Linked DNA regions of Lonchura striata. The protein of the gene in region 2 purifies or fractionates together with the protein of the main gene of each other region. This does not show direct contact. Links are inferred from orthologs where the notes say so. Each region holds a gene or a part of one and is shown on either strand. Other genes may lie near its edges.

What was found. Proteins that work in one complex are often made in the same cells at the same time.
Region 1: the proteins of FBXO45 (region 2) and MYCBP2 purify together in Homo sapiens (affinity purification with western blotting; 7 studies listed by BioGRID and IntAct, with this or other methods). This does not show direct contact. The link is inferred for Lonchura striata from reciprocal best matches to the Homo sapiens genes FBXO45 and MYCBP2.

What each region holds. Positions count from the first base shown.
Region 1 is NC_134604.1:48,875,859-48,879,601, forward strand, and holds the start of MYCBP2 (E3 ubiquitin-protein ligase MYCBP2), read left to right. Parts: upstream 1-756; 5' UTR 757-769; coding exon 770-1,041; intron 1,042-3,743. UniProt on the Homo sapiens protein: Atypical E3 ubiquitin-protein ligase which specifically mediates ubiquitination of threonine and serine residues on target proteins, instead of ubiquitinating lysine residues.
Region 2 is NC_134612.1:5,268,210-5,271,952, reverse strand, and holds the start of FBXO45 (F-box/SPRY domain-containing protein 1), read right to left. Parts: upstream 2,457-3,743; coding exon 2,181-2,456; intron 1,961-2,180; coding exon 1,604-1,960; intron 1-1,603. Other genes in the region: WDR53 (WD repeat-containing protein 53), read left to right, coding at 3,529-3,743. UniProt on the Homo sapiens protein: Component of E3 ubiquitin ligase complex consisting of FBXO45, MYCBP2 and SKP1. Functions in substrate recognition but also plays an important role in assembly of the complex.

The DNA.
Region 1 (3,743 bases), on a different chromosome or scaffold from region 2:
TGCGAATGCCCGACCTCGCTCGGGCGTGCCCGCGGGGTGGGAGGCCGGCCCCGCGGGGGTGGGAGGCGTGCCCGCGGGGGTGGGAGGCCGGCCCCGCGGGGGTGGGAGGCCGGTCCCGCGGGGTGGGAGGCCGGTCCCGCGGGGTGGGAGGCCGGCCCCGCGGGGTGGGAGCTGGTCCCCCGGCCGCGCCCGGTGCTCCGGGCCCGCGGCGCCCCGGCCGCGCGCAGCAGGTGCTGCTCCCGCCCGCCCATCCCGGATTTCCCGGGGGCCGCGCGGGGCGGGCGGGGCGGCGCATGCGCCCGGCGGCCGCGCTGCCCGCGGGAGGGAGGCGGGGCCGGGGCGGCCGTGCGGGGAGAGGGCGGCGGCAGCGCCGAGCACAAACTCCGGAGGGGAAGCGGCACCGCCGGCCTCCGCCCCCCGCCCCCACACACACACTCCCTGTAGCGGGAAGGGGGAAGCAAGCAGCCCGCCCCCCCCTCCCCAGTCCCAGCGGTGCACGGTCCTTCCCGGGACTCGGTGGCGGCGGGCGCTGTGCCCGGAGCGGAAGGCGAGCGGCGGGTAGCTGGGGCCTGGAGCCGCCGCTGGAGGAGGGGAAGAGCGGGGTGTTCCCGCATCGCGGGTGGATGCGCAGCCTGAAGGGCGGCTCCTGCGGCGCCTCCTGCGGCCTCGCCATGGCCGGGCCCCGGCGGTGAAGGCAGCGGGAGCCGCCTGTGTCCGCGCCGCGCCAGGAGGCGGCGCCTCCGCAAGCAGGGGGCGGGCGGGGAGGGGGATGAGCAGCGCCGCAGCCGCCGCCGCCTCTGCGGGAGCCGCCGCCGCCTGCACCGGGGCCGAACGCGGCTACTCCTTCTCCTCCGGCGGCGCCGCCCCGGCTATGGGGCCCGAGGAGGGCTCGGCCGGCGGGCTGGGAGCCCTGCCCGCGCCGCCGCCGGGCTGCCGGAGCCGCTACCAGCTGCTGCTCTCCGGGAAGGCCCTGGCCGACAGATACCGGAGGATTTACACGGCGGCGCTGAGCGATCGCGAGCTGGGGAGCCACCCGGGCAGGTAACGCGCACCGCGCCGCGCCAGACGTGCAGCCCCCGCGACCCCTCCCATCGCCGGCTGGGAGCGGCCCGGCGCCTGCACCTTCCTCCCTCCCGGCAGCCGCCCTCCTCATCCTCCTCCCCGCCCCCGTGCCGGGCGGCGCGGGTGTCCCCCCTGCCATGTGGCCGCGCCGCCGCGCCCCGGGGGACGGACGGAGGGAAGGGGCGGTGATGTAACCCGGCGGCTGCCCAGGTGCCGCCCGGGCCCCGCCGCTCGCCTGGCCGGCGATACCGCGCAGATGGCGCTGCCGCCCCCTCTCCCGGGCCCTCCGGGGCAGAGTTACCTGTGCCCGCCCCAGTGTGCGGCCCAGCTCCCCGGGGTGATGGAGAATGCCAGTGCTGGGACCCCGGGCGGATGGAGACTGCCCATGCTGGGACCCCGGGCAGACCTCGCTCCGGCCAGGCTTGCCGGAACGGGCTGAATCCCGTGGTCTCTCCCGCGACAGGTTGCGCAGGGCACCCGCGTCTCCCGCTGGCCGTGTTGCCCGAGTGAGGGACCGTGGCGCTTTTTCCCTGTACAGGGCCTGCCTTTAGCTACCCTGCCTTATTTTTCCTCCCCCTCTTCAGGTCATGTTCCCCCTTTGCCACCGCCGTGTAGGCGGCCTCGGTGTCTGGACGGAGGCAGCGCCTTGCCGGGGGCAGCCGGGGGTTGCGGGGTGCGGTGTGGCCCCACCTGGTTCCCGAGCAGCCCTCCCCCGGCGATGATGCCACTCAGGGCTCCCCTTCCCGGCCCTGCCAGCCGGCTCTGGGGCCGCCGCAGGGTGCCTGTTGCTCCTCCGGCCGGGAATGCCGCCCTGCCCTGCTCCCGGGCGGGGAGGGGGCTGCGGCGGTGCGGAGCCGCGGGGGAGAGGGGAGACCGCCCTTACCCCGCAGCCCGGCCCTGCCCGGGCGGACCCCCTCAGCCCCGCAGGCCGTGGCGGGGCGCCCGGGCTCGCTCTGTGAAGGGCTCCCCTGTGGTGCCCGGGCGCTCCCCATTGTTTCCCTCCGAAGGTCGCTGAGGATGTGGATGATACGAAACCGGCACCTTCCTGTGTTCTCAGCCTGGGCTGCTGCTCAGGCTGTGATGTGGGTGGCCGGGTCGTATGGAGAGCTTTGAGTCACCGTTGTTTCAAGTTTGCAAAGGGTTGTAAAGCACGAGGAGGTTGCCTGCTTGGCTTCTTCAGGTTGTTGTCGGACTTGACAGTAGGGTTTACCCCCCATCCCCCTCGCCCCAGAAAGCTGTGTCTAGGAACGGCATTAACATAAGACACATACCTTTCCCCATTTGCTTATGGTTAATGCTGGAAATGTGGACTGATAACATGGGTACTTGACATCTTTGCGACTACTGACTTCTTTTCAGTGTATGATAGGGAAACTATAGTTCTTCTTTACCCCCTGAAGACCAGCAAGTGTTTTCTTACTCCACATATTTCTTAGTCCAGTGCTTAATACTTTTTTTCATTAAATGTCTTTCTGCTTTTGAGCTTCATATCATTTAGTCCCGGGATTTCAAGTGCTAAGTGTAAGGATACAACTAAATGCAAAGAAATCACCTGTGCAATTGCTCCTCAGTGCTCAAGTGCCTGTCTGAATTTTGCCCAAAGGGGTCTATTTTTTAAAGCTGTAGTTTTGCATTAGTCGTGTCCTCCATGTCTTTTGGTTTCAGGATGATTCAACTGCTATCCCTTATACTTAAAATTGTAGAAGATACTAGGTTTACATGGGTGTAAATGTTAATGCTTCTCTTAATGTTTTTGAGGTCAAGTCAAAGAAGACAGATTCCTCATACAGAGTAAACAGGTTATATTAAGCTTTGGCAAGGTAACGGCAGGTAGTTAATACTGGTGAACACAGCCGATGTGTCTTGGACTTTTGAGGGGAGGTTTAATAATTATCTAGTTTCCTGTTGTCACTGCCCCCGCTATCTTATGTGGCAGACTGATGGCAGCCAAGATACTGCTTGTGGTCTCCACCTTTTCTCCATATTGGTGTCAAAATACTGCAAAATACTTCAGCTGCCTGGATGACTTAAACAGAAATGGTCAAAAAATATGCCTTTTTACAAAACTAGTACAAATTCCTAATATTTTCTAAGGAGAGCTTTAAATTGAACTGTGGCTGCATCTAGTTGCTATGGTAGAAAACAGTGCTAGATAATTAAATAGAGCTTAAGATAACAGAAGTCATCTTAAGCTTAGGTTATGACAGAAGTCCTAACTTGATTTTTATATATATGGAAAATCTGAAGCCTCTTAAGCAGTAAGATTGTCAATAAGAGTGTTTGTGACTACAAAAATGACTTGAAGTAGCTGAAAAAAGCTAAACAAATCGGCTGATCAACAGTAATAAAATTCTTCTTGTGTTCCAAGAAGACTAATGTGAAGAATGATAGTGCAACCTATTTGCCATAAATTGATGTGGAATTTTTACTTCAAGTCTGCAGAATTATACTCTGCACTTCATGGGCTGTGACCAATGCCTGCCTCAGCAAGTACTTCTATGGCAAACCTAACTTTAATGTTTATGAAGAACTGGCAAGCAGTATGAAAATGCTTTTGTGTAGACAAGGAAATCAAACATTGTGGAGATTATCTGAAAGTCACAAGATTAGTATCACATTTGCAAGGTGTTTGTACTGGCTGTCATTGGAAGGGATGAATATCACGTGTTGAGTAGGATGCG
Region 2 (3,743 bases):
CAGCATGTTCGGATGGAAACAAAAATAATGCAAAATGTAACACAGCAGAGAATTATAAAGCAGGGCTGTCCTGTGTCTCATGACTGATTGCTCTTGTGACAGGAATTTCTCAATTTCACCATGATCTGAAGCAGGACAGCCTGCATCCACCACCTGTTTATGATAATAAACGTGACCCTTCCCATATGAACCTGTGAGAGCACTGAGAGCAGGCACTATGTGCTGTGTGCTTTGGAAATACTGCAGAGCTTTGGAATCTTTGCAATGGGCTCCAAGTTACCTGAGCTCTGTGTTCAGCTGCTGATATCACTGAGCAGCAACTGCTCTGTGAGGAGCATTTTTAAAGACAATGGGTTTAAGAAAGGCAAGTGCCACCTACAAAAAAATCCCAGAATAGATTAATATACAGGTTTTGTCACTGACAGAGGTGTTCCCTCACCAAGCACGTTTTCTATGAGCAGACCACTGCACGTGTCTTAATAAAAGAAAATTTCAGTACAAAATGTAAAACAAAAACCCTGAAAGGATATACATACAAACACATAAGTGAAACCAGCATTGACCACAGCAGGAGCCTCGGATCCAGGCAGGCCCAGAGCTCCCTGCATTTATATAGCACATGTTATATCAATGGAAGTCCCAGAAAACAGCCACAAGCACAGCAGGCACCACACAAACTCTTGACTCTTCTCCAGCCAGCCGCAGCACTGGGAATTTCTTCTAGTCAACACTAACACACACATGTGTTTCCTGTAAGCATGTTTTCTATGAGCAGATCACTGCACATGTCTTAATAAACACAAAATACACCAAAGGATCGCTGATTTGAACTTTCACACAAATTTAGGAACATCAGATGCAAGGTACTACACAGATCTTCAGCCACAAGTGGAATGTAAGCCAGTACAAAGCCACAGCACTGGATGTCAGACTGGATTATTTTTAAAGTCACTTCTAACCCATTCTCTGAATATGAGACAGAAATTACAATGATCCAGTTTAAGTTGTAACACGAGCAAATCCAGCAGTGAAAAGACAGCTGTGTGAGCAGGCAGAATGACAAGACAGGCTTCTTTAAGGACAAAAAGGTAGGCTGGCCTCTGCTCTTTAATACCCTGAAGTTATCTGAACATCAGATTCCAGATAAATGTCACCCACGGGAAGGTGGCCAGTGAGCAAAGCATCACTAATCAGCACTGCTGCAGGTTTTTGCAGGAAGACTCTCACCTATGCACTAACTTCAGCTCACCGTGCCGGACAACAAAGGGGTACAAGCCCTCAGACAGTCACCTTGCTGTGGGGCAAGTCGCTACTTCAGAAAGCTACAACAGCCTTTTCAGGTTTTATTCAAAAAAGCACCACGATGCCTAAGCAGACACCCACAGGTTTCACACTCAATGTGTGAGATTATAGTGTGGGAACAACCCAGGGTCAGGTGCACTGAACACCAGACAGGAGGGGAAAAGGCTCACGAGGTAGAATCATTTGCCTTCTGCAGGGAAGGCAAAAAGACCTCCGAGAGTCACTTCGGAGCAATCCAGCAGCCAGCCGGGACAGCGAGGGATGGCCAGCACCCCCCAGAGCCCACGCCGAGCCCCCTCACCTGGTACTTGGGCGCGTTATTGCACTGGGGGAAGCTGCCGTTCACCTCCCCGTTATGCAGCAAGTTATTGTCCACCAGGTTCCAGCCCCAACTCTGGTCGTCGCTGCCCAGCAGGGCCACGTAGCCCTGGCACTGCATGGCCGCGCGCTTGGTGGCGATGCCGATGACGGCCACGGTGCCCAGCGGGCCCTCCCACCACACCTCCCAGGCGTGCCGGCCCTCGCTGAAGCCGATCTTGGTGCGCGCCCCGTCCGTGCTCTGCGCGATGGGGTTGCGGTGCAGCGTGAAGCCGTTCTTCTTGATGTACACGTTCCTCGAGCAGTCGTTGGTGCTGAAGGCGTGGTGGAAGGCACGGACCTGGGCGAGAGAAGGCGGGTGGGGGAGATGGACGGGGCTTGGAGCAGCCTGGTCTAGTGGGAGGTGTCCCTTCCAACCCAAACCATTGTGGCTCTAGGAGATAAAACCCTGCCATGGTCCCCGGCCTCCCGCCCCCTTCGTTTCCGATGGCGGGTGGGCCGGAGGGCTGCGGGGGCGGCGGTGGAGGGGTGTCCCGGCGGGGTGGGGGTCCCGGCCTCACCTTGCCCTTGTAGGTGGGCACGTTGCAGAGGATGTCGGTGCGCAGGGCCTCCTCGGCCAGGCAGCGGGCGGCCAGGCTGCGCCACACCTCGCTGTTCTCGTCGCCGTGCAGGACGCGGTGCCACAGCTTGCAGACCAGCGCGCAACTCCGCAGCTCCCGCAGCTCCAGGTACGAGAACACCAGCTCCAGCACCCGCCCCGGCAGCCGCCAGCCCGGCCCTCCCCACGACGCCGCGGCCGCCCCGGGGCCGGGCCCGGGGCCGGGCCCCGCCGCCATCGCCCCCCGCGCTGCCCTCGCCCGCCCGGTGTCGCCGGGGCCGCCCGAGGCCTCACGGCGCGGGGGCGCGCGGCGCCGCCATCTCGGCCGCGGGCACCGCCCCGCGCGTGCGCGGCGGGCGCGGGGGGCCGGCGCGGGGCGGCGGCGGCGCCGAGCGGAGCCGGGGGCGGCGAGCGGAGCGCGGCGGAGCGGAGCGGAGCGGAGGTGAGGGCGGAGGGTCCCGAGCCCCCCGGCGCGGCCCCGGCAGCGCCGCGCCCCGCGGGCCGGGGGGCGGCCGCAGGGCCGGGCCTGCCGCGGCGGGGGGCGGTCGGACCGAGCTGCCGCAGGGCTCGGGGTTGGCGGGGTACGACTCACCTGGGGCCACCGGGGACCGGCGGCCGCGAGTCTGCCCCGGTGCGAGCTGCGGGGAAGGTATCGGCCCTCTCCGTAGTGTTATTTGATCGCCAAGACCGAAGTTCCTCTGGTGGAATGAATGGGCTCTGGCTGCTCTTTAGATCTGGGTCAGCAAAAACCACACGGAGAACATAACGTGGTTAAATAAACGCACGGACCTTAGGGCAGCGAGGCGGCTGCTGGGCTGTCACACAAACCCCGTGTGCCTCTCTCTTTTTCTCCGCAGCGTCCCAGTCCCTCCAACACTTTCGTGCTGCCCTTTTTCGCTCTTCACTTAATTTTTTTGCTGATGCGTTTCCCTAAGCAGTGCTGTGACACAGGCTGCTGCGGGGAGTCACACCAAGGGAGGGTTAAGGTTGGTGAGCACATGGCTGTGTACTGAGACGCAATTAAATATGTTGCAACCTGTTTTAAAGGAGTAATACTGCTTTTAAAAAGTCTCATTGTGTTATCTAGGTTGGAAAAGACCGGTCAGCGCTCCCGCTGTGCCTGGTGCCGTTGGTATTTGTGCGAAAGCTCCACTTGGGTACTGAGCTGTCCTGAGCTGCCGAGGTGCCCGTTTTAACTGCACGCTGAAGTTTCAGGATGATCTTCCTGCTTATAATTTCTTCTGTCATGAGCTCAACAACCGCCTCAGTTCGGGGCTTGTTTTTGTGTGTTTCAGGGGTGTCCCTGAAGCATGGCAGTGAAGTGGGACGGTGGGCACTCCTCCTCTGTGCTGTGCCTGAACGTGAGCGCGGAAGGGCTGGTGGCCTCCGGCGCGGAGCGGGGCGAGCTGGCGCTCTGGGACGGGGAAGGCTCGCCGGTGGCTCAGCTGCGGCTCCCGCAGGCGGAGGACGTGACCTCGCTGGTGTTCTCCGCCCGCCGGCCCAGCACGCTGTACACGTCCCACGG